2 linked regions of the Lytechinus pictus genome follow. Each later gene encodes a partner of the first gene's protein in a complex. Links are inferred from orthologs where the notes say so. Each region holds a gene or a part of one and is shown in the gene's direction. Other genes may lie near its edges.

Evidence for each region.
Region 2: nucleosome-remodeling factor subunit BPTF-like (region 1) and inorganic pyrophosphatase-like share a complex: the UniProt entries of both Drosophila melanogaster proteins name them as parts of the NURF complex. The link is inferred for Lytechinus pictus from reciprocal best matches to the Drosophila melanogaster genes E(bx) and Nurf-38.

Annotation. Positions count from the first base shown.
Region 1 is NC_087254.1:2,975,680-2,991,619, forward strand, and holds the start of nucleosome-remodeling factor subunit BPTF-like, read left to right. Parts: upstream 1-9,473; 5' UTR 9,474-9,499; intron 9,500-9,863; 5' UTR 9,864-10,084; coding exon 10,085-11,511; intron 11,512-11,957; coding exon 11,958-12,163; intron 12,164-14,440; coding exon 14,441-15,603; intron 15,604-15,940. Other genes in the region: aminoacyl tRNA synthase complex-interacting multifunctional protein 2-like, read right to left, coding at 278-409. UniProt on the Drosophila melanogaster protein: Histone-binding component of NURF (nucleosome remodeling factor), a complex which catalyzes ATP-dependent nucleosome sliding and facilitates transcription of chromatin.
Region 2 is NC_087262.1:17,326,445-17,343,013, forward strand, and holds the start of inorganic pyrophosphatase-like, read left to right. Parts: upstream 1-9,009; 5' UTR 9,010-9,218; coding exon 9,219-9,417; intron 9,418-11,780; coding exon 11,781-11,842; intron 11,843-13,632; coding exon 13,633-13,689; intron 13,690-16,569. UniProt on the Drosophila melanogaster protein: Component of NURF (nucleosome remodeling factor), a complex which catalyzes ATP-dependent nucleosome sliding and facilitates transcription of chromatin.

The DNA of each region.
Region 1 (15,940 bases):
AGTATGGACACACGCGAAGTTTGGACTCACAAAACATCACCCTCTAAGTACTTACTAGGCTTTAATATAAGCAGATCTATTCTAAATTCAAACTTTAAAAGTAAGCAAACAAGTGGTCTAGTTATTTCAAATATAAAAAAAGCTTCAAAATCCATTTTCCCCCAAGTCATTTCTGAATACCTGAACATGCTGAAATACCAGACCGCGCTCCGCTTACGTGCGTTAGACGGTCCACATTTTTAGTTAACTCATAACTGCTTACGACATTAATATTCACCTCTTCGTTGTTCGTTTGCGATGAATTCCCTTGAATATTAGACATCTTGAACATGCAGCCTGGGAGTTCAATCTGTGTGCTGTCAAAATCGTAGAATGGTTTGAGTTTAAACATTCCAGAAGTGCCACTCATGGTTGTGGAATTTCCCCCTACACAAAATTAACAAATACCACGTCCACGTCGCACATGCAGTACTCAGTACACGCACGCGTGCCACGTCGTCGCGCCCGTAGCCTAGCCCTGCACTCTGGGCGCAGTGCCTGGATGATTTTCGCTAAAAGCGCTCGCGCTGCTAGTTAATCGCGTTGACGATGCGTGAAAGAAAATGAACAATTTTTCACTTAGTTAGAGGAACGCAACTATCCGACCAAAAGAAAGCACTGTTGTCAATTTAACGTCATGCGGATTGAATTTTATTTTCAATTTTTCATTGTTTAATTGATTTTTTCCCCAATTTCTTACTCTTTTCATAGGGGGGGGGGAAATTCTCTCATTTCCTTATATTTACCTTCTATTTTTTTCCTCTATTCGTTTTTATTATTACCGTTTTTATCTAGATCTATTTACATGTATTCATTTTTTTGAATGATTTTTGTTAATGTTATTTTTTTCATTGTATTTTATTTATTTATTTTTTTTATTATTATTTTTTTTTTTTTGGGGGGTGGGGTAGTGTAACGCCCTGTCAAAACGCCATACCTGAGCACCTCCACACCCCTACTTTTAATAGGCCTATTATATACCACTGTTCAGTAGGCCTATATTGTATCGACCAAGATTTTTTCCCAAATATATGTAGGCCAAAATTTGTTACTACGTGGTTCACTATTTCAATACAAGTATATCGAATTTCATTATGAATGAATTCTATTTAGATGAATGATGTCACATGTCTGATTTATATATCATGTTAATGCATTTTCTGATGTTATATTGTTTTTGTAGTATGTTTGCGTTTGAAATATATTATTATATAAACAAATTCAGATTAAAACGATTTCATCAATTCAAAATCACCCAACACACTTGGACTTCCTGGCATACAGATGAATGGGGCTATGAAAGAAAGGGAAAGGAATAGGGTGAGATACCTCGATAGTACAACATGCCAAAATATATTTTAATTTAAAGAAGTTTAATCTTTCGGCTCGCTCACTTTGCCTTAGGAAATTTGGCATGCGGTACGCCTTTGATGATTGATCTCCCTCTATCACAAAGTTATACAACTTGCTAGAAACATGGCCGTGGAACTTGGAGCGGGACTCCAACCCGCCTCCCCACTTTTTTTAAATAAACGTTTCAACAAACGCAGGCCAACATGATATATATTTAGTTAGCAGTTTACAATACTTGTGAAGAATTGTATCATAAATTATTTAATTCTCTAATAAAACATCAAAAACACATTTAAAAATTACCATCGATCTGATGACTTTTTTGCATGCATGACAGCCAAATTCCAACAATATTGTATTCTTGTTTTCAATTAATACTTTTTAAAGTTAATTTACTGTACCTTTTTTAATGAAAAAAATAAATTTCCAAGGTAACATTCGCTTTTGCAAAGTGTGATACACTTGTCGTTTGTTCTTCATTGTTCAGTTTATTGTACTCATCCATCGTTTATATTTTCTGATGCACTGATTCCCCTATTAATCATACAAAAACTGCATTCTCAGTTTATGCTTCTTACCCTTCTGTATGGTTGTTAGGCGAAAAGTTAAGTTCATTGACCCTAAATGACCTTTGACCTTAGTCATGTGACATGAAACTCATGCAGGATGTTTAGTAATACTTGATTAACCTTATGTCCAAGTTTCATGAACTAGGTCCTTATATTTTCTAAGTTATGATGACATTTCAAAAACTTAACCTTAGGTTAAGATTTTGATGTTGATTCCCCCAACATGGTCTAAGTTCATTGACCCTAAATGACCTTTGACCTTACTCATGTGACATGAAACTCATGCAGGATGTTCAGTAATACTTGATTAACCGTATGGCCAAGTTTCAGGAACTAGGTCTATATACTCTCTAAGTTATGCTGTCATTTCAAAAACTTAACCTTCGGTTAAGATTTGGTGTTGACGACGCCGCCGTCGGAAAAGCGGCGCCTATATAGTCTCACTCTGCTATGCAGGTGAGACAAAAATGTTCTGCTCGCGTTTTACGCTCTCATTATTAATGTAGGAAGATCCCCAATTACTCATCGATCTTCATGATTTACAAAACATGTCCCGTTTTTAGGTCTAAATTTCGATATTTTTTCCGCTCGCCCTTCGCGCTCGAATCAAGTGTTTACTTGATACCTATCCTGTTCACGATTACAAAAAGTGTTTAGAATTTCCATTCTTTGGCATTATTTGATTTGTTAAATGTGTAGGCCTAACGTCTTAATGCCTAACTGCAAGCAGTCCTTAACAGGGCTCTTTTTAATCACTTCAAAACGTACGCTCGCAGTTATTATTTAGTTGCATACACATCTTGTTCACGATCACAAACATTACCCGGAATATTCAATTTTTAGGACAAAATACATAAATCTAAAACAAAAAACCAAATTAGCTCACGCTTCGCGCTCGCATTTAAACAAGGCTTATGAGATTATTAAATATTTATGTTGATTTATAAGAATAAAGCTAAGAAGTGATTATTAGGACTACCCCTTCAAAGAAAAAAAATCAACTTCGAGCGGCCGATCGGGGAAAATATGGCTGAAAAAAAATTCGCCCCCCTCCCTATTGGCAAAGGCTTGATCCGCCCCTGCAAGGCAAAAATGCCTCTAAAGACCGAACAGCTATAGGCAACACTGCCCCCCCCCCTTTTTTTTTTTTGATTGATTGATTGATTGACAACGAATTTATTCATTCCAAAATTTCAACAAAGTTACAAAGTAAAGCAAAATATAATATAACATTTTGAAATGAAATAGGAAACTTCTGGAAAGCAAAGCTTGTTATTGAAGGTTTCCTTTAATAAATAAGACTTAATGCAAAAAACAATATATATATATATACTAATCATATCGTTCTTGTTGAAGTTCAAAATAGATACAATAAACAAGTCATCATATCTTTCTTGTAAAAATTATATGTAAAAATTATATGTAAATCCTTGTTAAATGTATTTTTTTTTTTTTTACATATTCTCCCAAATAAAAAATAAACAAGGCTGGATTATCTTACAAGATATGAAGAAAAAGTGAAAAGGACACACAAGACAAAACGTTACGAAAACAGGACGTGACAGAACGGTACAAGATCAAGACATGACAAAAAGTTATACCAAAACAAGACAGACGAAGTATTACAAGAACAGACAAATTGAAAAAAAAGACAACGACAACAACAAAACAAAGGACAAAAACGAGTGAAAGAAAGAAAGAAGAAGGAAAGAAAAAAACCCAAAAAAAAAACAGGTAGAGCGAAAGAAAGGAGACGGGAAAAGAAGCGAAATAAAGGCAGGGTGGGGGAGGGGGGAATCCAGAAGAACAGAAGATCCACAAGATATCCTAAGTAGGATGAATGATGTGAGTGTTATAGTTATTGGTTAGATTTTTTTTAAGTGCTCTATTGAAGCTATGAATAGTTGGCTTATTTCGTAAAGTTTGCGGAAGTGAATTCCAAAGTTTGATACCAGAAGATATAAACAGTTTGTTTGTTAATAATGTCCTCGTTCTAGGTAAATGGAAAAGTCCAGCAGATCTTGTAGGGTAGTGATGTACATTGATATTTCGTGTGAACATAGAATAAAATACGTCTGGTAGTTCATCTTTACTAAGGTTGAACATAAAAGATCCAAGATTATAATGGTAAAGATCATGTATCTTAAGAATTCCATGAGTTTTAAAAAGAACATTCGTATGTGCCCGATAATGAGAATGGCAAATAACGCGCAAAGCTTTTTTCTGAAGTAGTAAAAGTCTATTCAAATGAAAATCAGCACAACTCCCCCATGCAATAATACAAAAGTTCAAATGCGGGAGTATCAGCGTAGAGTATAAGTTTAATAATATACGAGTCGGAAAATAGAATTTAACTTTATTTATAATTCCAATATTCCGTGAAATTATTTTGCATGTGTTATCTATATGTTCTTTCCATGACAGTCTGTCGTCGATAGTTACTCCTAGAAATTTCGTACTTAATACTCTTTGAATATTAATATTATCAAAAATAATGTTACCTGGGAGTTCATCAATGATATTGCTGAAGAGCATGTATTTTGTTTTAGTGAGATTAAGCGATAATTTGTTGGCTTTGATCCACTCTGAGACTAGTTTTAATTCTTTATTAAGTGTGTCAAGTAAATGTTTGGGGTCCTTATGAGAAAAAAATATATTTGAGTCGTCGGCAAAAAGAATGAATGATAAAGTACTTGATGATTTATAAAAATCATTAATGTAGACCAAAAAAAGAAGCGGACCCAAGATTGAGCCTTGGGGGACTCCACATGAGATAGATTTGGGAGGGGAATCTACATTTGCTATGGAAACATATTGCTGCCTACTGCTGAGGTAGTTCCTGAACCACTCCAAGGCTATCCCTCTGATTCCATAATAATTAAGCTTGTATAAAAGGATATCATGGTTGATTGTGTCGAAAGCCTTGGAGAAGTCCAGGAACACCCCAACAGTATGCTCATACTTGTCAATTCCATTGGCAATCTTATTAATCGTTGACAACAGGGCATGAGTAGTACTATGTTTTTCGCGAAAACCAAACTGCAGGGGATAAAACAATTTATGTATATTAAGAAACTTTGTCGTGCGTACAAAAATTACTTTTTCCAAAACCTTCGAAAGGCATGTCAATAATGATATGGGGCGATAATTTCCCAACACGGTGTTGTCGCCTTTTTTAAAAATGGGGATTACTCGGGCTTGCTTTAATGAAGAAGGTACAACTCCTGTAGAAAGAGACAAATTAAAGATATAAGTCAAAGGTTTAATAATGTGTATCAGGTTTCTTTTCAGGAGAATGTTACTTATATCGTCACATCCTGAACTCATTTTATTCTTTAGTCCAGAAATTATATCAGCTAGTTCTTTTACGTCTGTTGGTGTGAAATATATCGAATTTGGATTAGGGACATTAAGAAAAGATGTGAAGTGTTTAGAAGAGGCAGGGATTGTGCTGGCAAGATTTTGGCCTACGGATGCAAAATAGTCATTAAAAACATTTGCCAAGGCAAAGGGATCCTCTACCAATTCACCATCAACATTTATTTTCGTGGGCGTAGACATTCTGAAGTTACCTTGTATAACGTTTTTTATAACTTTCCATGTATTTTTAACGTCGTTTCTATAGAGGTCAAATTGATTATGAAAATAATTCTTTTTACATTTTCTCAGTATACCTGTCAGAATATTTTTGTAGTCAGTGTACTTTTTTCTATTACTGTCGCAAGGCTTTGAAATAGTTTTTAAGTAAAGGTTATTCTTTCTGTTTATTGAGCGCAAAATGCTAGGTGTAATCCATGGGGACCTTGGAACCTTTTTGTAATTAGAGCGTTTGAATCGCACTACGGGAAAAGAGCTATTCATTAATGGATTCAATTTATTCATAAAAGCGTCAAATGCATCCTCGGCATTTTGAATACTGTAAATTCCTGACCAGTCAACATTTCCTAACTCTTCATTGAACAGATTCATATTATTTTCAGAAAAATCACGTCGAGTATTATGATCAACTTTGTGTTCAGTGGCGTTGGTATCTAGTTTAAAATGCGAAAATATGGGAAAATGGTCCGTCAAATCAGAAAGAATTATTCCCGTAGAGAGAGTACTTCTGGTATTTGTAAATATATTGTCGATGAGAGTAGCCGATGTACCTGTGATTCGAGTTGGCTTGGTTATCAAAGGAAGGAAACCTGCTGTCATTATTACATCCGAAAAAGTTTGAACAAAAGTATCAGTATCGTATTTTAGTAAGTCAATATTGAAATCGCCGAGTAAAAAACACGTTTCATTGACCATCTCATGGAGTGCCAATAACCCATGGAATGTATTTAAAAAGTCATCGTGGGAGGAGTTAGGCGGCCTGTAAATCGTTCCAACCAGAATATTTTTGTCGTTGGGCATAAGAATTTCAACAAAAAGTGTTTCAATAGCATCATTCATTAGAGTAAGATCAGGCCTTAACCTGTAATCGAATTGTTGGGATACAAAAAGAGCAACGCCTCCACCTGATTTCCCTATTCTATTATTTGTGACCAAATTATAACCTGGCAGCGTATAAAAGGATAGTTGAGTAGAGTGGGAAAACCACGTTTCTGACAAACCTATCACAGAACAAAAGAGCTTAGAATTCAATAAAAGGGAACGAAGTGATTCAAAATTTTTGTTGGCACTGCGAATGTTGCAATGTAGCATTAGAAAGTTACTGTTGTCAAGTTGTTTCGACGCTATCTGTTTATCAGTAAAATAGAGCGAGGGGGTATGTTGATACGTATTATCATTAGGATCAGAAAGAGAATCAAGATTAGCTTGTGCATTGAGAGTTTGAGCTACGGAGTCATGAAAAACAGAATTTTTACATTCATCATGTTCATCAAACTTCGAATTAAAGGCAGCCTGGAAAGTATCGTGTAATTCATCATTATCTATATCAGAAAATGGGAAATTTGTGTTTACAGCCATCACAAAGGATGTCTAGGGGATCTCCAGAGATAGGGAGGAGTATGCAGATCAGCTAAACGAAATAACACAAGACATGATATTACGAGAATGACAGATACGAATACAGACAAATAACGACAAACACAAAAACAAAAACAAAACAAATATACAGTAGCACTTAAATCCTAGGAACCTTCAAATTATAAAAAGAGGGAGAATATTCAGAGCTGACTATATAACAGGAACAAAATAAGCAAAGTATTTTAGGCAATATTACAGACATTAACCCTTCGAGGGAAGACGTAAAATGCGTCTATATTTTCCATGTATATACATTTCCATGAGGTGGAAGAAGAACCAACAAGCACCAGCAATAATGAGACAATTGAAAGGTTATTGGAGGAACATGCAAGCCCTTTAAATCGCAAAGCATAGCAAATGAACTAATAATAGACATTACGATAAGATACTTCGATATAAAAAGATTGGGACAGCAATCAAAATAAATAAAACGAAAGAATGATAAACATCTGATACTGTATTGTGTTGGATATGTATCAATAAGTCCAATATGTAAATAATGTTCATATATACCATTTGTGTAAGAATCTCCCAAAAGTAAGACAATAGGAGGAATTAATTTGATACATTAGCATGAAAAAAGAAAATTCTGCATAAGAAGTTCTTTGCAGTAAATCGCTTTGTGTACAATTCAAAACCTAACAAGGGTGGTGCATGCTCCCCCACAAACCCCCAAGATCACACACAGATTAAAACGGCAGATATAATTTGAAGGAATATTGTAGAAACAACAGCAAGGAGGAGAAAGAATGACCAAATGTCGTGTATTAAAGAAAAAGCATACATTCTTAGACAAATACCCATAATGATAAAGAAACATGTAACGATTGTATAAACTGCGAAAAGGATAACAATCATGTATTGTGCGACCACACTTCAAAAAATGAACCAGTCCTTCTAACAGTCTAACGACTGGATGGAGGGGCTTCTGTTGCATACTGGCATTTCAAGACCCTAGAGTGAAAGGAATAATTCAATAGTGTTCCAACATGTCAAACGTTGGTTTAATCTGTACTTTATGTAACTTGTTAGGAGTATGATTTTCAACGTTGTACCTGAGTAAACAATGGAGCGGATTTTGCGTGATATGTCAAAAAGAAACACGTACAGCATACAATAACAACGATCTAGAAGGTTCATCACAAAAGGGTCACCAAACACCAGTCTTCAACGGAATATAGATCATCTTATTTGATGGAGGATATGAAGTAATTACACTTGTTGTACATGACACTTATTAATATTATAAAACCTAAGAATACCAACATGTAGCGGTGTAATTAAAAGCCAGATTACGTGAAGTGAAATCGATGATAGTATTAATTCACAAACTCTTCACATCAATTTTAGATAAAATTTTTATCGAAACCATTCCACGGTCCGTCTCGTCCGCGTTGTTTTAGTTTTGTAACTAAATGCAATACAAACATATCCACCTCTATGCATGGGGCCTATTTATTTATTCATTTATTTATTTATTTATTGATATATTCATATTCCACGAATTCTCAAAGTACATATTCATTTACAGTAGAAATATAAATCATCTGCATGTGCAGTTTTGAAACGTACTGAAAAAAATTTAAAAAGTGGAGGGGCCTACTTTAAGCAAAGCTTTAGATGCAGACCTCCTATCAAAATTATATACAATGAGGGTAATGTATGATATGAATAAAGTGAAATAATCAGCAAAATTCTGTAAATTGATATAGATTTAGACACTGTAACACGAATGTATATTCACTATATACAAAATTATAGTAACTTTAAAATAATCAACACTTCCGTGGATATTTGATTAAATCAGTATGAATTCAGAAAAATAAATTGATGAGTAATTTAAATCGGTTCAGAGAAGATGCCTCTTTTATAAATGCTCTGTCCAAAGAATTCCTGATTTTTGGTCCTGTGAAAAATATACTCTTGCTCAAAAATACTGTTGTTTTAGGTAAGTGATAGTCATTTGACTGTCTGGTATTATATATGAATGCAAAGTATTATTTCTCAGTACTCCTTTTTTCTGAAGTAGAAATACTTTGTCGAGTCTCGTTTGAGAGGCATTTCCCCATGCTAGAATCCCATAATTAAGATCAATGCAAAATACTGGAAAATACAAAAACAACAACGCGCTGAAGTTCGATCTGTGAACAAGTCACTGCTCTGGATGCAGATCACACCGTCACTTTCCTCGAGTGAATTTTTGCAAACCAATCTAAATTCTAACCACTTCTTAAATTGCTGATGCTGTCTTGAACTCGCATTATTAGATCACTGATCTGTATGTACGTAATCACGTTGACTCCATAGAGATGTTATTAGTATATCTCTATGGTTGACTCACACTCATCAAATTGGTAGTCCTTTCACCGATTTACCAATATCATTGCTAACTTCATCCGCCTAACGCGGTAAAAAATAGTTCACTGAATTTCTCCCGCAAGCAAAGTTATGTGGCCGAGTTCATGAAACAAAACCGCTGATTGGTTTATAGCAATCAGTTGTGAAAGGTGTTTCCCCGCAAGGTCTCATAAATATAAATGGTAGCAAATAGGTTATTTGTAGTCACCGTCAATTTATATCTTAAGTTTTGCCACATCTTGTTCAAATTAGATAATTGTGACCCGGGGTTCATAGTTAAGAGGATAACGCATCAGATTTGCTTGGAAAATGCAATTGGGAAATTGGCACATATGCAGACTAAACGCGCACCAATAGGAAAGCATAATCGGAAAGGAATAACGTTGGAATGAAAAATTCATTATTTGTTATAATTTCAGACGTTTGTCACTAGATCATGTAGATCAGATGCAGTCAATCATTTATGAATTTAGAGGTATTATTTGTCATGATGTTTGGGTATTTGTAAACATGTACTTGGGCATGAAGGGGGCTCGCCGAGCGATCGATCGCGATAGCGGTAATTGAATGCATAATTGGTCACGTGGTCATCTACATCAGAAAATGGCGGACAGTGCAGAACTTGCGTGCGATTCGTAAATATAATGCCGAAATCGTGTTTCACCGCGAAGCTTGTGGATCTCAAACCTAAGTTAGGTGTGCGTTAGGTTACCAGGCACCCGCTAGCAGCCGATAATTTGTATTTCAAGATGCCGAGGGGACGTGGACGTCCGCCTAAGTCACTTGTTGATTCATTGGACGAGACGCCGGGAAATGCAAAGAAATCTGGTGGAGGAGCCGGAGTTGGACGGGGCAATGATGGCCAGAGCAACGGCTCCAGTCCTGCAAGTTCTCGCTGTAGCACACCGGTAAGTCAAGCCAGCAGTACCGGCGCAGTTGGCCGAGGGAGATCCCCGAGATTACGTGAAGCTGCGAGGCGGAGCAAGCGGCTAATTCAAGAGGTCATAGAGGCTCAAAGAAGTCCCCAGGCTAAGGCAAGTCCATCAAGCAGTAGCACAACAAGTACTGGAAAGGGGCCAGGAAAAGGGAGAGGGAGAGGTAAGACTCCCACAACACAGAGTAAACCGGGTGCAAAATCAAAACCAAAAGGGAAAGGGAAAGGAAAAAAGGCAAGGCCAAAATATGAAAGTTCAGATGAAGAGGGAGTTGATTTCAATGAGGAATTGTTGCAATCTTCGTCAGAAGATGAGATTAGTTCAAATAGTTCGCAGTCTGAATTACCAGATGATGATGAATTAGAAGAACTAGAAGAAGACGACAGTGACGACAGCAGCACGGCTGCCAAGAAGAGGTTATTACTTTCACGGACAAATCGGCCTTTCGCATTGCCATTCCTGGAGGCAGAGCCAGAGGAAATTCCTCCAATTGAACTTCCAAAATCTAGCACAGACCTCCTTATCGACAATGAGGATATGATGAATGCTCTATCTGTGTATGAAGTTCTTAGGCATTTCAGTCAACAGTTAAGACTCTCTCCATTCCGTTTTGAGGATTTTTGTGCAGCTTTGTGTAGTGAAGAGCAATGTTTGCTCCTAGCGGAAACCCACATTGCTCTGTTGTACAATCTTGTGAAGGAAGATGAAAGTAGCAGTACAACGTTTGGTCCTCAAGACCAGCGAGACAGTATCAATGTCCAGTTCTTGTTTCTAGATAATATGACGTGGTCTGAAGTTGCAAGAGCGTATGTTGAAAGTGACAAAGAATTCCGTGGTGCATTAAGTGCTCTAGAAGGAGAAAACTACCCTTTTGCTCCTGTGAGTGACAAATTAACAGTGTTGCATCTCCTTTGCGACCAGTTCCTGGCATCGAACAGAGTGCGTGAAGAGATTCTGAGTGAAGGTGCAATAACCTATGACGACCATTGCAGGTCGTGTCATAAATTGGGAGATTTAATATGTTGCGAGACATGTTCAGCCGTTTATCACTTGGAATGTGTGAATTTGGTGGAAGTACCAGAGGAAGACTGGATGTGCTCGGTGTGCAGGCAGCATCGCGTTCTTGGTGTCTATGACTGTATCTCAGAGGTGGAGAAGAGTGGACTCCTCATTCGACAGGAACCCTTGGGTTATGACAGGCATGGCAGAAAGTACTGGCACTTTGTTAGGAGAATTGTTGTGTGAGTATTTCTTCCTACTATCTGTCTTTCTTCCCATTAACTTTAGACATTGATGGCTATAAAGGGTGTGACCTTTTGAGAATCTGTAAACAATATTTCAGTCTTAAAAACAAGAAGGCACATAACTAAGAGCAAATGCATTTCCTTTTTATACTGATTTAACTTTGAAATAATGAAGAAATAAGAAATAGATTTTGCCTTAAACCTTTGAAGTGTAATATGTGTATTTCAGAAGTAAATTTCCCACCAACCACTTATCATCTCCCCTCCCTGTAAATTTGAGATGGGCTATAAACATAAGGCTTATTGAATTTAATTTGTCAAACATGCATTGGACATGAGATAAACATTATACACTGTACCCTTGCCACTGGAGGTTTATTTCTCTAAAGTTTGCATGCAGTATATCATAATCATTGATACTATTTATCTTTTAAAATATGCAGTGAAGGTGAGAACGAGCTATATTACTACTCCACCAAGCTTCAATTTGAAGAATTGATGCATTCTTTGGATGCAACAAAGTGGGAGGAGGACTTGTGTCTTGCACTGCAGGATTGTATGGCAGAGATCCTTGAACAGATGCAGAGGACAGAGGAGCTGACCAACAGCGCAAGGGGTAACCAGAAGTCAGTGCTTCAGAAGTCAACAGGTTGGTTGGTGCTGTCTTTTGTAAAGCTTGTCAGTTTTATTTCAACTAGTTTCTGTTTAAAATCAAAGTAGGCCTATGTTAACTAAAGAAAGTGAAAAAAAAGGAATTATGAACAAAATTCATAAGTAGCACCAAATTAAAGAGGAGGTTATTGTTTAATCTATTAGACTGTGAAGCTGTTATTTTCTGTGAAGGGTAAAAATCTTGAGAAGCTCAACAAAGCATGGTTGTAGAGAAGTAGGAGCAGCCTACTGCCTTCACAGCCACTCAGAGCTTATTCATTTGTTGTATTTGCTGTTGCTGCTGGCTTACAATATCTGTAGTGATTGGTGGCTGAAATAGCAGATTCCTCATTTAATGCATTATTTTATTGCTTAATCATTGGCTATTACATGTACCGTTGGAACTTATGAGTTATGCACAAGTCTTTCGCATGTTTGGTGTAAGCAAACTGGTAATAACTAGAAGGTCCTCTTGTTTGATTTTATATAGGATGTAGTTGTAAGAGTTATAAGTACAAAAACACAATTCACCCTCACCCTCCGTTTTCTTTCCTCCATGTAAATCTGTGTTACATTATAATTTCCTGCCCGGGTCTTTTTCTAAGAGCAGAAGAATATTATTAAAGTTGCCATCAGACTTGATTTAGTTTATTTTATTTCTGGTCTTTCCCCTTTTCTCTTGACCCTTCCCTCATTCTTATACTGTATATTCACAAGTCATAGGCTATGCAGAACAAAGGATTTACTGGGAGGGACAGGGGGCTGACAGTTTGCTGTGTAAATTGTCCATTTGAGTAAAAAAAAAACGTCTTGATATGCAGCCTAATGTCCCTGGCAGTGAGTTACTGATGTGTGTGCAGAAGGACCCTCAGAATAGAAACAGTGCTCACTCGATGAGTACTTGTGAGCTGATGTGAAGAACCACTTGTTCAAAGTTTCAGTCAGGTTTTCTGTAAGGTTACATTCATGTACATGAAAGGGGAATCCAACCCAAATAAAAACTTGTTTTTATAAGGAAAAGAAAAATCAGACAAGTTGAAAGGTGAAAGTTTGAACAATGTTGGACAAACAAACAAGAAAGTTATGAATTTTTTAAATTTGTAAATATTGGTAATCACTATACCCATGGAGACTTCAAATTGGCCGCATATGGGATGTCATAGTGATGTAAGGCAAGGACTACTCTTCCATGTACTCCAATACATATTATGGCTAAAATGTCATTTTCCCCAAAAGTTTTATTTCAAATTATATTTTTCTTTCATGAGGACATAAAACAATATACTACATGGGTTATATTTGGATGACTGCCCCAGGGGAATGGGTACTTAGGAGAAAACCACAAATCCCTGATAATAAAGTACATGGCCTATGGGAAAGTTGTCCTTGCCCCTTGTCATAATTTACTTACCCAGTTGCCAATTTGAAATCTACATAGTATTAGTGATCTCAATTTTAAAGCAGCTATAACTTTTGTATTGCTTGTCCGATTTCTTTCAAAGTTTCACCATTCTGTTTCATTTATTTTTCTCCTTCCCCACACAGCATTTATGGCCAAGGCTGGATTCCCCTTTAAAGGAAAACCAATGAAACCAGTTGAATTCATAAAACGAGAAAAATCCAAGAAATGGATCATTGAAAGATTGAATGAATAATATAAGTTTGAGCCTTTGAATATAGAGGTGACCACTAAAACTTGACCTTCCCTTTGGCAATGCAACCTAGATCTGTGGGGTCTCACACATTCAACTTCCCCATTACTTTGTCTATTTCTCTTAAATTTTCTGTTTTATCTAGTCTTCACTGTTTTTATGTTTTATCTAGTCTTCACTTTTTTTATGAGAGGACATGTAATAAAGGCTTCACTACATATCATGGATGAATTATTTAAAGCCCTTAAAGTGAGCAAAAAAAGAAGAAGATGGTTTAGGGTCTTAGGGAATTTTTTACCTAATAAGAAAGTTGTACATATCATATCATAGATCTCCATAGCATTACCATTAGTGAACTTGACATTCGAATCCTAATAAGTTTTTTATTGCTCGTCAATTTTAGTCAAACTTTCATTGATCCTATTCTTTTATTTTTCTTCTTTCACATAAAGCTAACTTGCTTCAGTGGTTTAATTCTCCTTTAATTCCTTGGATGGTACATTTAGGTGTTGTAAGCCATTGATGTGGATTCAGGTTTTTTTTTAAAGACAATATTTGCGTCAAGACTGGGGGTCGAGAATTGTGAATTGATTTTACTCCTGTGCGCATTTATTTTGTTTCAGATGAATTGAATGCTTTGAAGGCTGAACGAGAAGAGGCACTAAGGAAAGCAGAAGAGGAGAAGCGAAGGCTGGAGGAAGAAGCCGTCATCGCGCAGGCCCAGGCAAGAATGAAGGAGGAGGATGAATGGCAAGAAGAGAAAGAGGATGAAGAAAAAATGGAGGTTGATGTGGCCAAAAGTTCAAACAAGTCTGTTCAGGAGGAAGTGGTTGGTGATTCAGTAACCAAAGAAGATGAGACAAGAGAGGGGACGGGAATGAGAAGTGAGGAGCAGATGGAGCAAGGAGATCAACCTGATACCAATCAATCTGAACGTGACCCAGATTCAGAGCTATCAGAAAAGAAAGAGGAAGGGGATAAAGAGAACAAAGATGAAGCTGATCAGAAGAATAAAACTATTGTCATGACACGGTCAAGAAATCCCAACTACAAACCCCCTCCCCCTAAAGCCACTCCTTATCTAACGTACACTACAAGCATTCCAACTCGTACAAACACTTCCCTTGTAACAGGCAGACCGAGGACCGAAGAGACACTCGTCATTAATTCCAAGGGAGAGATTAATCGCATTGGTGGAGATGACTCCGGTAAGGGTGTTTTGACAAGGGGCGCCATGCGTCCAGAATCTCTCTTCAAGCTTGGCATGGAGGGGACGTATAAATCGTACAAGAATCAGTTCACCACCAATCGGCTTGCCCTCAACAAACCCCAGCACGCTGAGGAGCGAGATCGCAAACGCTACCTGGTCAACAAGTTCAGTCTGACCCCTGCAGCCGAGTTCAAGTGGCACGGGAGCACCAACAGCAATCGCATGCTCACCATATCCACGCTTCGTCTCACCACCACGCAGCTAGAGAGCAACATCCCCAGGGCTCTCATGCACACCAACTGGACAGTCCATCGGAACAACTGGATCAAAGCCGTCCACATGTGCTCCAAGCCTCATGCCTTTGCCCTAGCCCTCTCTGTCTTGGAATGCGCCATCAAACCTGTGGTGTTCAACTCCTACTTTGCAGATGGACTAGGTCACGTCAGAATGGTGAGGACTACGGCTATGGATAAGGAGGAAAGGAAGAAGATTGACAAGAAGAGGAAGGATGATGACTTTGAAGAGATCCAAACGAACTGTAGTTGGGTGAAATACTGCTTCCCTATCAAGCATCAGGTGAGTACTTCCAGGCCAAAGCTTTGGTAAAATGTCATAGTATTATCATCGAACATACTAAGGTTAAAGAAGTCGAGTTACCATAGAATCTTTTCTCAGCTGCTAAAAAAGCTCTCTGAAATTTTGAAATTTCAGTGAATTTTCATGTGAAAAGTTAAGAACCAAAACTGATTTTCTGTTTTGATTTAATACTGGTGAACGGAAAATCTCTGTCAGTATAGTAGCACATGTATCAGAATATTCCTTAAACATTTACGAGTAATGCTTTAGTGTTGTTTTTTGTACTCGGATGTCTCAACGTATGCTCTGTATCAGTAAAGACTCTTCTTTTTCCTGT
Region 2 (16,569 bases), on another chromosome or scaffold:
AAAAAATATAGAACATGTGGGTAATTTTTTCACATATAATCTTGGGTTTGGGTCTCATCTATCCAATGGAAGTAATAGTTTTGACAGAATGTTACACTTGAGTGAGCACTGTCCATTTTTGTAAAGCTCGCAGAAATCTGTTTGCGCAGAAATGCTCATTTTCACGCTGTGTCAAGGGGAAAGGGCGAAATCAAGCTTACCATGCGAAACATTTCTCATACATTTCCCTTGCACTTTTAGTCAATTGAAGCATTTTGTAACAATTTTGCCACCCAAATTGAAATTTCAACACTTAGTGTTAGTAAGCACAACCTTTACCTTTTTTTTTGTCCCAGCTGGATCTGAGGACATAACTGAATCTGAACAAAATTTTATATCAGACATCTCCAGCATTTTTTCACAAAGTTTTTATCATTTAAAGTGGGTTCACATTTAATTTTTCATTTGATACTTGTTTCTCCACACCTTTCCCAAGCTTGACAATGATTAGCAAATTGAAAATCAAGCCATTTTAAGTAAATCACAGCTCAGTGTAAAGCAAATATCGTCACGATGGCCTCGGTGTGTGGGGGAGTCGGGTAGGGTGCAATGCACTCTTTGAAGTGTTTTGGGCAAGGAAACAAGTTTAAAAAAAGGTAAAAGATATCTTCAAATCAATTTTACTAGCTAAATTACATGTGTTCTTCATGATTAAGGTCTACTTTTATTCACATAACTATTTCAAAGTTCTGCGCAAATCCTTTTTCACTAACTTTTCAAAAGTAAGTGGTGCTCACTCTGACCAGCGGAAATATTTTTCGACAGTTATATCGTCATTTGCTTAAATGGATCTGTACCAATGTTAAAATGTGGAAAATCTTTCAGGAAAATACAAATGCATAATTTTAGAGGATTGTTTTCTAAGTGTAAACTTTTTTATACGCACTGTATAATGTCTAACATGTCCATAAGGATGTCTTCTGTGGTTGGTAAGCATACATCTAGTCATATGTGTTCTCAGCGGTGGCAAACAAACTTTGAAACATTTAAGAAATAATATGCAAAGTTTTCATCCTGAAAGTTTATTTGTTTTTAGGAATGAACAAAGTTTCACAGTTATTACATGGATTAAAGATTGAGACAAAAGATATTGAAATGACCAAGGCGACAATATTCATACACATGGTGATGTCCTTTGTCAGAGTAGGCCATATACAGTTATGGTTTACATGTTAGAAAATAATAGGTTTTAAAAAATATTATACTGTTTTTTGTTTTACGAAGTAAGAATGCTCGTCTGTAAAATTTTAATTAATTTGTATTACTTTATATTAATTTGTATTATGTTTTGAATGGAAATGGAATAAAGAATTGAATTGAATTGAATTGAATTGAAAGTATAGTTCAATTCATATTTAGTTCCTGCTCAAATTGGTATATACGTATAAGGAAAAAAAAAAATCAGGAATAAAAAGGTGTCCAATGGAAGCGGGAAATGTTGCCAATGTCTACTGAATAGTGCATGATGTGACTATAATCAATTGCATTTATTTGGTTGTCTCATCTAGCACACTTGATTGCATTTGATAATTTGATTAAATTCAAACAGGTGATCATGTTTTGACTGATTGCATTTACAGGTGAGAAATTTCATCCTGCATCCAGAGCCATTCTCCGTCGAGAACGGACTTCTCACGCCGACATTCAAAAATAAACGAAACGTCATCAAGGATATGTTTAAAGAGAAGATAGATCAACTTTACTCAGAAAACTAGAAAATACAATGGCATGTAGTCACTTTGATATCAGTTGGTATCCACTTCGTGTAGGCTAGTTTGAGCATGGGGAGGTGCACATCCTGCACTGTAAAAACTGTGGTGTTAAAACTGACACCAGTTGGTGTTAATAGAGGACCACGCCCTGAGGTGTTAAAACTACACCCTTGAGATTGAACATAACACCAAAGAGTGTAAATATAACAACCAAAGGTGTTGTAATAACATCTATGGGCGTAAAACTAACACCACCAATTTAACACCGGTGTAAAACAACTGGTGTGGTCCTCTATGTACACCGGTTAACAACACAGTTTTTGCTGTGTGTGGAGGTGGAACTTAAGGGGTATGGTGATGCACATCTTATAGGGAGGTGGAACTAAAGTTTGGAAAATCAGTTGTTGAAAGCAAAAGAAAGGCCGCTTTCATTTTGCTTGCCGGTGTCGGAACTCCTCTGCCTCAGCGGCAGGGTATACCCCCCCCCCCCCGCGAACGCCCTCGTGGTATTGGTGTTAGCAGTTGGTCTAATTTTTAAATCATAACACCATCACGGCTATAATGCCACTTGAATCTTTTATCAATTTGGTCTGATTACTGTTTGGTCCAACCATTACTTGATTACTCGGTCTACTTTGGGGGTATTGACCTTCATAGATCATTAAGAACTATGTCCATCCCCATATTTTGTATTTCTTCTGTATTCATGAAATACTGCACTATAACTGATTTATATGATTTCTGTGATGTTTCTGTTTTTTACTTAATTTGTAGAATTTGATATCAATTTGATATTAACTTTCATTTAGTCAGGCATTTATAATTATTATTTCCAGGTGGTCTAATTTTCGCTTCATCGAAGTATATCTAATCATAATTAGGCCTATAAGGTGATGAAGTGGAGTGAGAACATTAAACGAAATGGCTAAAGCCTAGTCGGAAATTAGACAAATTGGTAAATGAGGTAAGTGTCAGTTAGTCCCACTGGCGGATCCAGTGGGGAGGCACATCCGGTCCTTGCCCCCCCCCCCCCCACCTTGAGAGGCATAATCAAAACTTGTAATGTAAATTTGCCGTTCTACTACAAGTGTGCCCCCCCCCCCTTTGATAGTGAGGAAATTTCTTCTTTTTTTCTTTCCTTATCAAATTTTTTTTCCGTGGACGCAATGATCTGAAACTTTGGGTGAAATTTTCCTCTGGGACATGTGCCTCCCCCCCCCCCCCTTATACGGAAAATCCTGGATCGGCCCCTAGTTAGATCAAAATGATTAGTAGACGAACTGGTTTTGGACAACTACGATTAGACCAAGTGGAATGAGACCAAACGGAAAAAATAGACAAAGCCAGTGTAGACCAAATGGCAATAGTTACGGATATCTCATTTCTATAGGTGTATCGCTGTCTTTTGAATTTGAGTGCGAATGTGGCAGTGTGGGGCTATAGTCTATTTTCATTATATTTATAAGCATTTTCTACCAGGGTCAAGTTAAACAAATCTTGCCATCAAAAACAATTGAAAAATTGGTAAAAGTAAATCAAATGCGAATGATTCCAGTTGCTTTACGAATCGTGGTTACTTTGTTATGAAATTGTTTAATGTAATAGGATCATTTGTCCCAACAAGTAACCCAGCTAGACTCAAATCATGAAAATTAATAATTCAGAAATAATAAGCCAGAGTTGTAATATTTTATATGTTTATAATACATCACAAAGGAAAGAGACAAGTATTTAAAACAAAAATAATAATGGAAGCAGTGGATTGTTAAGAGTAAAGATTTATTTTTAGAGACAGTTCCTTAACAAGGATATCAATACAGCTTCATAGTACATAGTAGGCCTATAAGTGTTTTGGTGGAATAACAGTATGTTTCAACTTCCCTGCAGTAGATATGCGGAGTAATTACATTTTTGAGGAGACATGCAGTATATCCATGAACTTTCAGTAATTTAGTTTACAGCAAACAGTAGAATATGTAACCCCGCTATGCAACTCAAAAGTAATAACTTTTTTGTATATTTATATATAATGGGAAAAATTTGATGTGTCTAATATTCATAGTTTTATTCATTTTGATTCTTAAAGGTTCCGGTTTCTCAAAAAGCACGTAGCGCGGACAGTATAACAATGAGGAAAATGTAGATAATCAATATACAGCCGGGGTAATAATAGCAACCCTTTGTATCCTCTAGCAAAAGGCGCTTTATACATCAAGCTATTATTATTGTTATTATAATGTTGATTTTTACTCGAAATGAAATAAAATCTCCAAGCATGTGAAATTGCTTTTTTTTAGAGCTCCAACTTGGGGAAAATTTTAATCAAGTCTTTCAACATGGCATTCGGATCATTCTGTAACGTGAGTAATCGAGTCATCTCAAAGATTTAGGTTTTAATGAATGAAATGAATTAATGAGAAACAGCATGCTTTGTGATGATATAGAGACTTCTACATTATGGCTTATAGTATGACTTGTGACTCTTTCATCAAATCTTGTGTATTAATTGAAATGTTTTTTTAAACAACTAGAGTTCATTCAAATATTGTTATCTAACATTCTTATATTTTAAAGGATAATTGTTATTAAATGCTAATAAAAAAATTGCTGTATAGGCATATATACAAAAGGTAAAGTTTGTATCTTATTCTTGTTTGACTGTCTTGTACAACATTAATTCTATCAGTGTGGAAATCAAGAATAAATTAAATTTTCTGAAAGACTTTTTATAAGCCTTCCCACACTTTAAAAACACTGAGTAAAATTTTACCCAATATTGGATAGAAAGGGAACATGCATGTTTGCTGAGTATTTTTTTTTACCCCATATTGGGTTATTTCAACGCAACATATTGCGTAAAATTTACAAGATATTGGGTATCTGTTACCCAGCCAACAAGCATGTTCCCATTTTACCCAATATTGGGTAGACCCTTTTTTTAGAGTGCAATGAGTATAATGATGATCACAGTAATGGCATCCGCCGTGTCTTTGCAGGCGAACATCACAACCATTTTAGGCGCCGTTTAGGCCTACACCATGATCAATGATGGGGCTAAAGCGTTTTGCAAGGTCGTGAATGTCAGAAGTAGCAAAGTCCAATTCGTATTTTATGCGACAAAAGTGCACAGAAAGAGAAATGATAATGTTCGGAAGCTTCGACAATATTTTGCAGGGATCGCTTCCAAAAATCTTAGGTGAGCTTTTCGTTAGCGGAGTAGTTTTACTTTTTAACGTCTATTAAGTGGGTCTATTTTATACAGGAGCCATATCGCTTTCATTAGTGAATAAAAGAGAAATTTCCGCGATAAAAGTCAAATTACAACCGTTTGCAAAAACTTATATAGGCCTACGACTATATTTGCAAATAGGGCAGCAACTGCTCGCGGAAAAAGGATTTCCAAAGAAATTTTGCAACAATGAAAACTGTTTATGATTTTTTTTTCTTTCTCAAGCTTTTACGAATCCTTTGCAACTCTAACGTTTGCGTCCTAGCTGGCAATACCTTCTCAAAACCTGCATCGGGGTGGGGGGGGGGGGGTACTCGCGTGTATATCGCATAAGGGGATTTGCCGCAGCTCTATAGTTGGTCGTTTTTTGCAACAACAAGAAAAAATCCTTAGACATGGGTCTTGCTATATTGCAAGAAAGCCATTGGTCCTATTTTGCAGTTGAATAATCCTTAGACATGGGTCCGTTTCTGAAAAAAAAACCAAATATGCCTATACTTATACGAATCCCCGGGAAAAGCCCCCGGAAATGTCTATGTTAGTCCCGGTCCAGAGTACGAGTAGCCGGTACCCATGGACGAGTAGATTCTACCTGTATAGTATTTCCACATCTTATTACGATAGCAATGGGCACCGGGGTACGTCACTCTAGGCACACTCGGCCGACCATATACAGTAGGCCTACCCTATATAGTGCATGCGTGCAGCGCATGCATAATTAATTATTGTTGTATTGTATTTATTCTACATTCATAAAAACATGCAAAGTACGAACAAAATACATCAGATATAATTACAAAATAAAATGAATACATATGAATGGCTAGATTGCCCACTCACATTGGTAATTATTACCACTCTGTTCTGCCTAGGGGTCCAGAACGTAATAAAATAGATCAAATTGTATGATTGCAACAACAAGTGTTTGTAATGGCAAATTTTCAGGTTGGAAAATCCAAAATGTTCAGCTTTTCTGAGCACTTCTTTAGAATCAATTTGTAATAATGAAAACTTGATATGCGGCCTAACTTATGTTTGTATAATTTTTCGAAACCGGATATTCTAAGCTTCTATCTATTTAATTTAACACTCAATGCGTACGTGGAATTGTTTTTTTCCCCCAAGTCTTCCCCTCCACTTATTTCATCTACTTGTCTTCCTCTCCTTTCCATTTTCCTTTCCTTTTTTCTTGTTTTTCCCTCTCCTCTCCTTTCCAGTGGCGTAGCTACGGGGGGCCCGTGGGGCACGTGCCCCCTGAGATTTGGTGTGCCCCCCCCCCCAGGTGCCCCCCCCCCCTGAAAAAAAATTGGCAGAGCCAAAAAAAAGAAAAGAAAAAAGGAAAAGAAGAAGAAAGACAAGAAAAAAAAGAAGAGGAAAATAAGAGGAGGAAGACGAGTGAATGAAATAATGTGAAGGGAAGACTTGCAAAAAAAAACAAATCTTTCATGTTACTTTACAAAACTTTTGCTTGCGCTTCGCGCCAGAATTGCCCTTTCGATGAGATTCATATCTTGCTCAATAGGCTGATATGGAGCAATTTTTTAAGTCAATATACGAAATATATTTTAGCTCGTACATCGAGCTTTCATCTTTTTTTTTTCATTAACAAATTCAAGTGCTCTAGCTGTAAAATGTCACTTTTATATAGTCTACATATCAGCATTTTTAAGCTCACGCTGCGTGGTCAAGTTGTTTGATTTGCCAAGTTCCTATTGTCTACGTGTATTCCATAATGTTCCATTAAACTAATGTATTCATACTGCCCAGATTCTAGGTCTTAATCTAAAACATGCGCGATAGCCTGCATGTTGTGTATATTAAATGTACTTAAATTATCCAGTTTCACATCAAAATATCAATAATTGTCTGCTCACTCTTTACGGTCGCATTATTAATGATACCCAATTAACTATATCCTTTTTATGATTTACAAAATATGAATAGAGTGTCCCGCTTTTAGGTCTAAAATTTCAATTTTCTTCCTCTCGCGCTTCGCGCTCGCATCAATTGTTTAGTAACATACCTATCCCATTTATTAATACAAAAAGTGCTTAGAATGACAATTTTTTAGGTCGGAATGTCAAAAAAATTTGCTCGCGCTTCGCGCTCGCATTATTGAAATATATACCGTCTTCGTGGGTAACTGTAAGCAGTCCTTAACAGGTCCCTTTTCGATAATGCTAGAACAGTTAATAAAAATTTCTGCTCGCGCTTGGCGTTCGCAGTAACCATCTAGTTACATACGAATCTTGTTCAGGATCACACATAACATTGCCCAGAATATTAAATTTTCAGGAAAAAATACATGAAAGTAACAAAAAAATCGCTCGCGCTTCGCGCTCGCACTTTTTATAAGGCTTATGAGATTATTTCATGTTTTTGTTGTTTTATAAGAATAAAAATAAGAAGTGACTGATCGGGGGAAAAATAGGTGAAGATAATTTCGGGCCCCGTCCCCTATTGGCGAAAGTCGGATCCGCCCTTGTGACACATACACACACAACGGAAAAAATTGTGCCCCCCTGAAAAAGCAAGGACCCCCCAGTGCCCCCCCCCCCCAGGAAAAAAATCCTAGCTACGCCACTGCTACTTTCCACTTTCCTTTCCTTTTTTCTTGTTGTTCCCTCTCCTCTCCTTTCCATTTTTCTTCTTTCTTTTTTTATACTTTGTCCCCTCTCCCTATTTTCATTGGGCCTTGAATGTGTTTCGCCCGGGGCACGCGCCCCTGCTCCCTTTCAAAAATCCTACGTACGCTACTGTCTTCTACCCCCCCCCCCCTAGAAAAGGCCTACTATAAAAATAAAAATAAATGTCATTAGGACTAAATTGACACAGGCCACAGTAACATTTCACTTTTTGGGGAAGTCTTCTATTTTTTTGTTTGTTTTTCAGTGCTAAATGCTTGCTTGTCGATTTTTTTTTTCTTAAATGGTACGTAGGCCTTCTCCAGGCTGAAAATAATGTGATTTGAACAGACAAATAAAAATCCGACAAACAAAGCACTCGAAATTTTATGAAAAATGGACAAGGAATAAAAAATTTATGACATTTTAGATATTCTGATAATTTCTGTAAAACAATGAATATTATGCATGTCTTCACGAATATTCAATGAGCAATCTGATATTTCCACGTGTTGTTTTGTATTTTATAACATAAGATCTCAATTCATTCGAAGTGTGACCTCGAAGAAAAAAATGGACTGGCAATTGATTTAATGCATTATAGATATTCATCACTGCAACTTATTTTATCATAATTGATAAGGGTGCCATATCATGATAAACACACAGACAGACAGAATAGATAGATAGATAGATAGATAGATAGATAGATAGATAGATAGATAGATAGATAGATAGATAGATAGATAGATAGATAGATAACTGGTTTATTGATTAAACATCATTGAGGCATAGCCGAATTGCGATGAGTTTAAATAGGCATGCATTACATTCATACAAACATAATAATACAAAAGGAAACATAATAATACAAAAGGAAACATAATCACGTATCGTATATTCACAATATCATAAAAAGGAAATGCATTTTAATTGTTATAGATAGGGCCTCATGCAATGGAAAAGTATATACGAACTTTCTACAAATTCAATTTAAGTATTGGACCATATGAAATCACAGAAGGGGAAAAGCACTGCATGTAGAGTGCATAAATCATACATGTATAGTCAATCACAATTTTACATAAAAAAGAACTTTACTATAGGGTTCATTTTGAAAGTCCATTTACTAAGGCGCATGGGTAACTCTGCGCTCGATCGATCGGATGCCCCTGCTCAAAACTTGCATCGGCTCCTAGCAAAAATGAAATCCTGATTTGAAGGGAAAATATTTTATTTCTCTTTGTATTTTTTGCGGGAATTATGATATCGGTCATTTGGTGGCATGATACCACGTGCATCAATATCACTGAAAAATACCATGCACATGCATAATCGCAATAGGGGGGCGTGTCCCCTTTTTTGTTATGAGCGAGCGGCATGCAGATATATCGATTGAAGGAAAAAAAACACCGGTAGCAGTTCTTATGAACTTTAGACTTTGGACTTTGAACTTGGATTGCAAATCTGTACATGCAGCCAACGGATACATGTGGAAGAACTGCACAGTTGTACTTTGGACAGAATAATATCACAATCAAGATTGTCAATCATCGTTTTTATCTGCAAAGATACCATTAATTAATATCGGCGCATGCGTGTAAATCTGTCCACATGTTGACTCCGATCCTCCGTCGTGTCCTCTCGGCTGCTTTTTCCCAGAGAACTTATTCCAAGATCTCTTTTACTCGCCATTCTCGACCTCGAATAGATTTGTCAAAACTTCAGTTCAGTGACTGTCGAATTTTAGCGATGGCTTATTCAGTTGAACCCAGAGGTGCACCCAATTCGCTCGACTACCGTCTGTTCTTCAGTAAGTACCTCCTACGGCTACGGCTCTTCTCTGCAGCAGTGAGCAGGTCGTCGGAATCGCGGCCAGGCGTTGCCCATCCGGGCGGCGTCAGTATCTTGAGTTGACCGCCCACTCGCTCAGCTCAGGAGGCCGGAGGCGATTTGTCATTGACATGTCGGAGCTGGAGTCTGAAACACAACTCACCTGTGGCAGTGCAGAGTCCCACTTAGCCAGGACTGAGGCTCCTAGACTAGAGAGTGAAAATCATTCACTAACGACTTAACGTGTGCTTACTCTCCATGGATGGAGCTTGGGAGTGGGATTGCGTCCCATTCATGTGCGTGTACCGCGAAAAAAACTGAAATTTTTGCCCCCAAGGCCAAGTCCAAGATTTATATTTTCGTTCTAAAAGATCTAACGTTAGCCCTAAATCATGTAAATGGGATACAACTTCATTTCCGACATTTATATGACATTGATTTCATTTTCAAACAAGAATTCATTAAAAAAATGAGAAAAATATTATGAAAAGACGGAAAAAACCTGCCGCGATCGCGATGTTTACATGTACGTCGCCATCTTGTTTCTTTTTGTTCTTTGTCAAGATACATGACGCATATCGGATATGCGTCTTGTATCTTGGCAAAGAACAAAAAGAAATAAGATGGCGACGTAAACATCACGGCAGGTTTTCTCCGTCTTTTCATAATATTTTTCTTGTTTTTTTTAATGAATTCTTGTTTAAAAATGAAATCAATGTCATATAAATGTCGGAAATGAAGTTGTATCCCATTTACATGATTTAGGGCTAGATCTTTTTTTGTTTTAGAATTAGAAGGAAAGGAGAAATCTCAGGGCGAAATTTTCAAATTTCAATTTTTTTCGCGGTACATGCACATGAATGAATGGGAGGCAATCCCTGGCTCCGTGGTGAGTAAGCACACGTTAGTGACTGACTTTAGAGAGTAAAAATTTTCTACTCTCTAGGAGCCTTCTGGCTAGTCCCACCGAACTTATCGTGCATGCTGTATGTAGTGTTCGTGAATTTTGCAAAAAATTTAGTAAAAAATCAAAAATGTAAAGTTTCAAAATTTCTGGGGAGGGGGAACTGCCCCCCCCCCCCCCCAGTGTGTATGATGTGGTTCCAAACTTCTCAGACTTTTCAAAAGTATTCATTAGGCTTAAATTTGTCCACAAAATATTCACAATTTATAAAAAAACCAAAGAAATTGTTAGGGCCTATCACGGCAAGATCGTAAACGTTTGCCAGTATTGCGATCTCAAAATTCTATTCCGATCGAGGAATGCGCGCTTTGGTGGAAAACCGTTCTGAAAAAGTGTGACCTAACTTCGTGGACCAAAGTTTTTGTGGAGATTTAAATAAAAACTCAAGCTCAAAAGGTGAGATATTTATATCAGATTGATGACAAAATGCTATAGAATTAGTACCATATTGAACTCACATTTTTTTATGATATCTGCTTGCAAACAAAATGATGATATCGTGATGCTTGTTGAGAATATCAAATTTCTTCGGAACGGGCACTAAAGGTGACAAATTTGCTGATCTTTTGTCAATATTTTCGTGAATACTGAACTCATCGTAAAAAAAAACTTATGCCAAAGGGTAATTTCAGGTCGCTTTTCACGTTGATGTCAGATTTTAAGGATATTGGCTAGTTTTTTAGATAGTGACCGTTTGCGAAGTATGGACACACAAAGTTTGGAATCACTGCCATACTGTGTATGGCCATGCACCGCAGTGTCCCGGAGATCAAGAAAAGGGGGGGGGGGGGGTAGTATCATAGCCATAGGAATAAAGGCTGGTGTAAAAATAAAACTGTAGACTGACTGTACTGTAGGAAGGCGACAAGTTGTAGAAAATAGTTGGTGAACTGGGCCCGATTGGAGGCCACATGCTTGCTGTTTATGTTACGTTAGGGAGAAATGAAAAAAAAAATGTCCTAAACATGATATTCCCCGCCAAGTGTGATATAAATTCCATGAATTTCCTTTTTTTATGGAATATGATAAACAAATTTATTTATCTTGTCAAAGGAGTTGAAAGGATCGCACAAATGAAATCAATTTCAGAATTTTGAGAAAATTGCATTTTATATGACACAAGATATGGAAGAGCTGATTGTCTTTCTGTGGCATCATAAGATCAAAACTTTGTAATATAATATTAGATTGATTTTCATAAAACTTTCGCCAATTGAAATTTTTCTCAAATTTTTCTGTTTTTATTAAAATCAACTTATCAAGGCAGACTTCTTACAAGTATCAATCATAAATGTGGACTCTTATTTCTATCCTCTACACTTCAGCTTAGATACCTATTTAGATTTTTGGTTTTCCTTCTTTTTTTTCTGTATTTCTAGGGAACAGCGATGGTCAAGTGATTTCACCATTTCATGACATTCCACTATATGCTGATAAAGATGTAAGATAATTATTAATTCATTTTTTCTCTCATTTTTAAAAATTTGTATGATGACCTTTTTTTTTGCTCTGTGTTTACATCATCATAAATTTACATATCTTTTATGGTTCTCTTTCTTACATCATGCCATAGCCCATCTATTTTCCCACATTTTCTTGTAAAAAATATTGATTCTGTGATATTTACAATAATTGCACTCTTGGAATTCTTCATATTTAATAAAAACAGAAGGTTAACATCAAACTTGCTGTTGCAATAAAAAAAATACATATATCTTCACATTTGTTTTAATATAAGGCCTTACTATGTGTATATCTTATAAGGTTGGATGGGCAATTGTAGTCAATATAGCTCTTGCTGAATATTTGCTTCATTAAATTCTAGTGAGTTCTGAGTTCTCCAATATGTTCAAAGATTAAAGGACAAGTCCACCCCCAACAAAAAGTTGATTTGAATAAAAAGAGAAAAAAACAAAACAAGCATAACCCTGAAAATTTGATCAAAATCTGATGTAAAATACGAAAATTATGACATTTTAAAATTTCGCTTAATTTCACAAAGCAGTAATATGCACATGTATCCTGGTCTGTTTGCAAATGAGGAGACTGATGACGTCATCAACTCGCTATTTCTTGTGTATTTTATTATATGAATTATTCAAATTTTCCCCTCATTGTCAAGTGAAAGACAGATTTATTACTCCATGAACATGAAGAATTACCTTGGTTTGAACATTGTATGGTTCAGTCAAGTTAGTCCTTATTGTAAAAGTGGTTTCTAAAAATTGAAATATTGTATAATTCAAACAAAGAACAGAAATAGTGAGGGACATCATAGACTCTCTCATTTGCATGTCACTGGATTTGAACTATTTTGTGAAAACTAGCAAAACTTTAAAATGTCACAACTTTGTTATTTCACATTCGATTTTCATGAAATTCTTAACATTTTGCTTGTTGAATTTTTCTCTATTGATTAAAATCAACATTCTTTTGGGATGGACTTGACCTTTAAAAGTTATCAGTAATTATTAAATTTCAGCGTACCTAGAGTGCACACACACGGCAGTAATTACTATATTTGTATTTGTTAAGGCAAAGCTCAAGTATTTATTCACACATAAATTATTAAGATTAATGTTTGTTGGAGTAATCAGATGGTATATTGATGTTATGAATGGTTCAAACATGCAAAGCTCTGCCAAAGATAGTCAAATCTTTATTACTGCTATACATAAAGATTTATCGATACTGCAAATTTTACGATGTACAAGTACATGTATCACATTTAATTTATTAGAGTTAGCGGTTTCTTTTTCTAATAATTATGTGGGATATCTGACAGTATGATCAAATCATAGACCTTAAAATTGAACCCTATTCCTCGATCACAAGGCAAAGGATCAATGGTAATTGGATCTAAAAGCAATGTCACCAAAAAAATAAAAAATCCCAAGCCATGGAAAACAAAACAGAGCCACTGAAATAATTGTAAGATGCAATGTATCTAATAAGAATTTGTTGGTAGTCAGACTGAAATTTTATTGACACCATGGATTTCTTTACGGGTATAGTTACAACAGAGGAAAGCATCATGAAAATAATTAATATGAATTAATATAAGCTGAATCTGTAAAATAATAAAATTAGAAAGATACGCATGCCAAAATATTTTCTTAGACAGGAAATATTTAAACTGATTATGATGTACAAGCTAAAGTAAGTTTCTTGTTTTATTAATTCAGTGTACGAACAAAATTGATTCCCTATTCCTCTAATTGTAATTTACAGAAGCAGATATTGAACATGGTTGTGGAGGTACCACGATGGACCAATGCCAAGATGGAGGTAAGTTGGAACAAATCTGTCACTCCTGGGCTCCGTAACACAAATCTTAGCGATGAATAGCAAATGTGAGAGAACACTTCTGATTGGTTCCTGGTCAGTATTTTGTGCCGAATGCGCGTGTAATGTTGATCTTGATTGGTCAGTTCATTTAGCGATTGATCGCTAATCTTTGTTACGGAGCCCTGGTCAATGTCTTACAAAGAGTTGTGATTGATCCGATCGATTTTTTCTGTAGGAAATTTGCAAAGTGTCCTTTTTGAAACAAAGATGGGCACTTTGAACTATCAAGAAAAAAGATGCATGTATGAATATTCATACCGGTATCTAGAAGATATTTTGAACAAACATGCATTTTAGATGTTGATTTTGCTGGCTTTCCATAGTTGTTGATTGGATCAATCGCAACTCTTTGTAAGATGGGGCCCCGGTATTTCTCATTCATCCTTTTAGATTTCCAAGTATTCTTTATTTTGTTTTCACTTCAAGTTCATGAACGAAAGGTAAAATCTTTGACAATTTCAGGCCCTACTAAAGTTTCTGTATTTCTAGGGCAATTTCTCTTTTCTGCGATTGGGTACAAAGTGACTTTGAGGTTTATTGGGGGGATCAAAGGCCATGGATTTAACCCCCCCCCCTCAAAAAAAAATAATTACAGGATGGGTGACGGGTCATAACCGTGCAAAGGTCATGTGCTTACCGGTATCCAGAGCAACCAACTATTTAGAAAAAGTCACAATTGTTATGATTTTCATGCCAAATTATGCCATTATGCTTTTGACTTTAATTATTTTGCTTTTGAAGTAGAATAGGTATGTACACATCTAATAAACACATAGTAATACATTGCGTAGTTGTACAATTTACTTGCCTGACAAGGCAAGCTAGTGCTTCACAAAAGTAATGTATATGTAGCACCCTAGATGAATATACCTGACAACCATCATGTAGGGTTGGCAAACTTGGCATTTATGAGCATTGTGCATCTGTTCTATCTAGTTTCAAGGGCACTGTACATCCCACTTTAATAGTCAAAATGAACAATATTTTACACAGGCTAGCTTCAATAATCTTTACTATTAGGGTATGTCAATAATTAAGAGTTTGGTTCAATCACAGAGGTGCTATAGCCCCTCACATCAATTTGTTTCAGAATCCAAAGTCACAAAATGGCAAAAGAAAGACCAATGAAAATGAGAGGTGTTTAAACAAAATATCGTTCATTATGACTCAGTGAAATTTGTGCAGTGCCCTCGTAAAGTTTTATCAGTTTCTTTTGGAACCCAGTGTGCATACTAGTATTACCTCTTCTTAGAAATTTATAGTACTACCTTGCATGTATGAAATTATGACTTTTATCTCAAAATTATGACTTTTGAGCTGCTGGATTACTACCTTGTACTTTAAAAGGTTGGCAGCTCTGCTTAATATCACAAGTCTGCAGATACACAGACACAAATTAACGCTTAAAAGTCAAGTCCACCCCAGAAAAATGTTGATTTGCATAAATAGAGAAAAATCAAACTAGCAAAACGCTGAAAATTTCATCAAAATCGTATGTAAAATAAGAAAGTTTTGACATTTTAAATTTTTGCTTATTTTTCATTAAACAGTGATATGCACAACTCATGAGACAGTTGATGATGTCCCTCACTCACTATTTCTTTTGTTTTTTATTGTTTGAATTAAATACAATATTTGATTTTTTATAGATTTGACAATAAGGACCAACTTGACTGAATCATATACAATGCTCATTCCATATGTTCAGGGAGGAATTAATCGATGTTTCACTCGAGAATGGGGAGAAAAATAGAATATTCTCTATTTCATATGATAAAATACAAAAAAAATTGTGAGTGGATGACGTCATCAGTCTCCTCATTTGCATACCGACCGGAATGTGCATTTAACTGTTTTGTGAAATTAAGCGAAACTGGAAAATGTCATAACTTTTTTATTATACATCCGAATTTTGATGAAATTGTCAGTGTTTTGCTTGTTGGATTGTTCTCTTTTTATTCAAATCAACTCTTTGTTGGAGTGGACTTGTCCTGTAAATCAAGAAATGAGTCCTTTACACATTTCAACTGGTGTGGAGAAGCCAGGAGTACAAAATTCACATTCAGCTCTTGTAGTCTAAAAATGCAGACCACTTTTTAATAGTACACATGTTTAAACAAACCAGGGACATGTGCTTGCAAACAATTTATCTAATCAGGTATGATGTTCAACATGACTTCTCAACGAAGCAGGGAATTATTGTGCTTACCAAATTTGATAAGCATATTTGGTCACAAGATAAAGCTCTCAACTATAAAGTTCTTAACAGTCCTATGTAAAAAAATCTGCTCCCTATTTTGTTTAGCAGTCTTTAAGAAAATGTGGAGCAAATTGTGATGTGCTACATGTACCCTTTGTAGATAAGTTCAGTTTATGGGTCCTACCCACACCTTTTCCTACCTGCACAATTACTGGACATGATATTTGTGCTGGCTATCAGTGGGATACTTAGACACATCATATCAAATTTGATTATATTCAGCATAACTTTGTGATTCTACTTGCAGCACTTGATAAATGTTTCTACTTCCAAACATGAATTAACCAATTATTAAAGCTTGAAAGTTGAATGTAAATTCCATCCTCCACTCAGATTCATGTCATTTTCTGAATATTGCCAGCTTTGTTTTTGTTGCTCCTTTCAAATTATTTAAAAAAAGGTCATCACATCATTGTCATCATTGACAATTATCATGATAATATTGCACTCATCATCATCATAATTGTTGTTGCCATTGCAACCATTATTTCATAAGCAGGATCATTCTTATTTTTAATGGCTACCTTATATTTTGTTGGTTTTTGCTATTATTAATATTC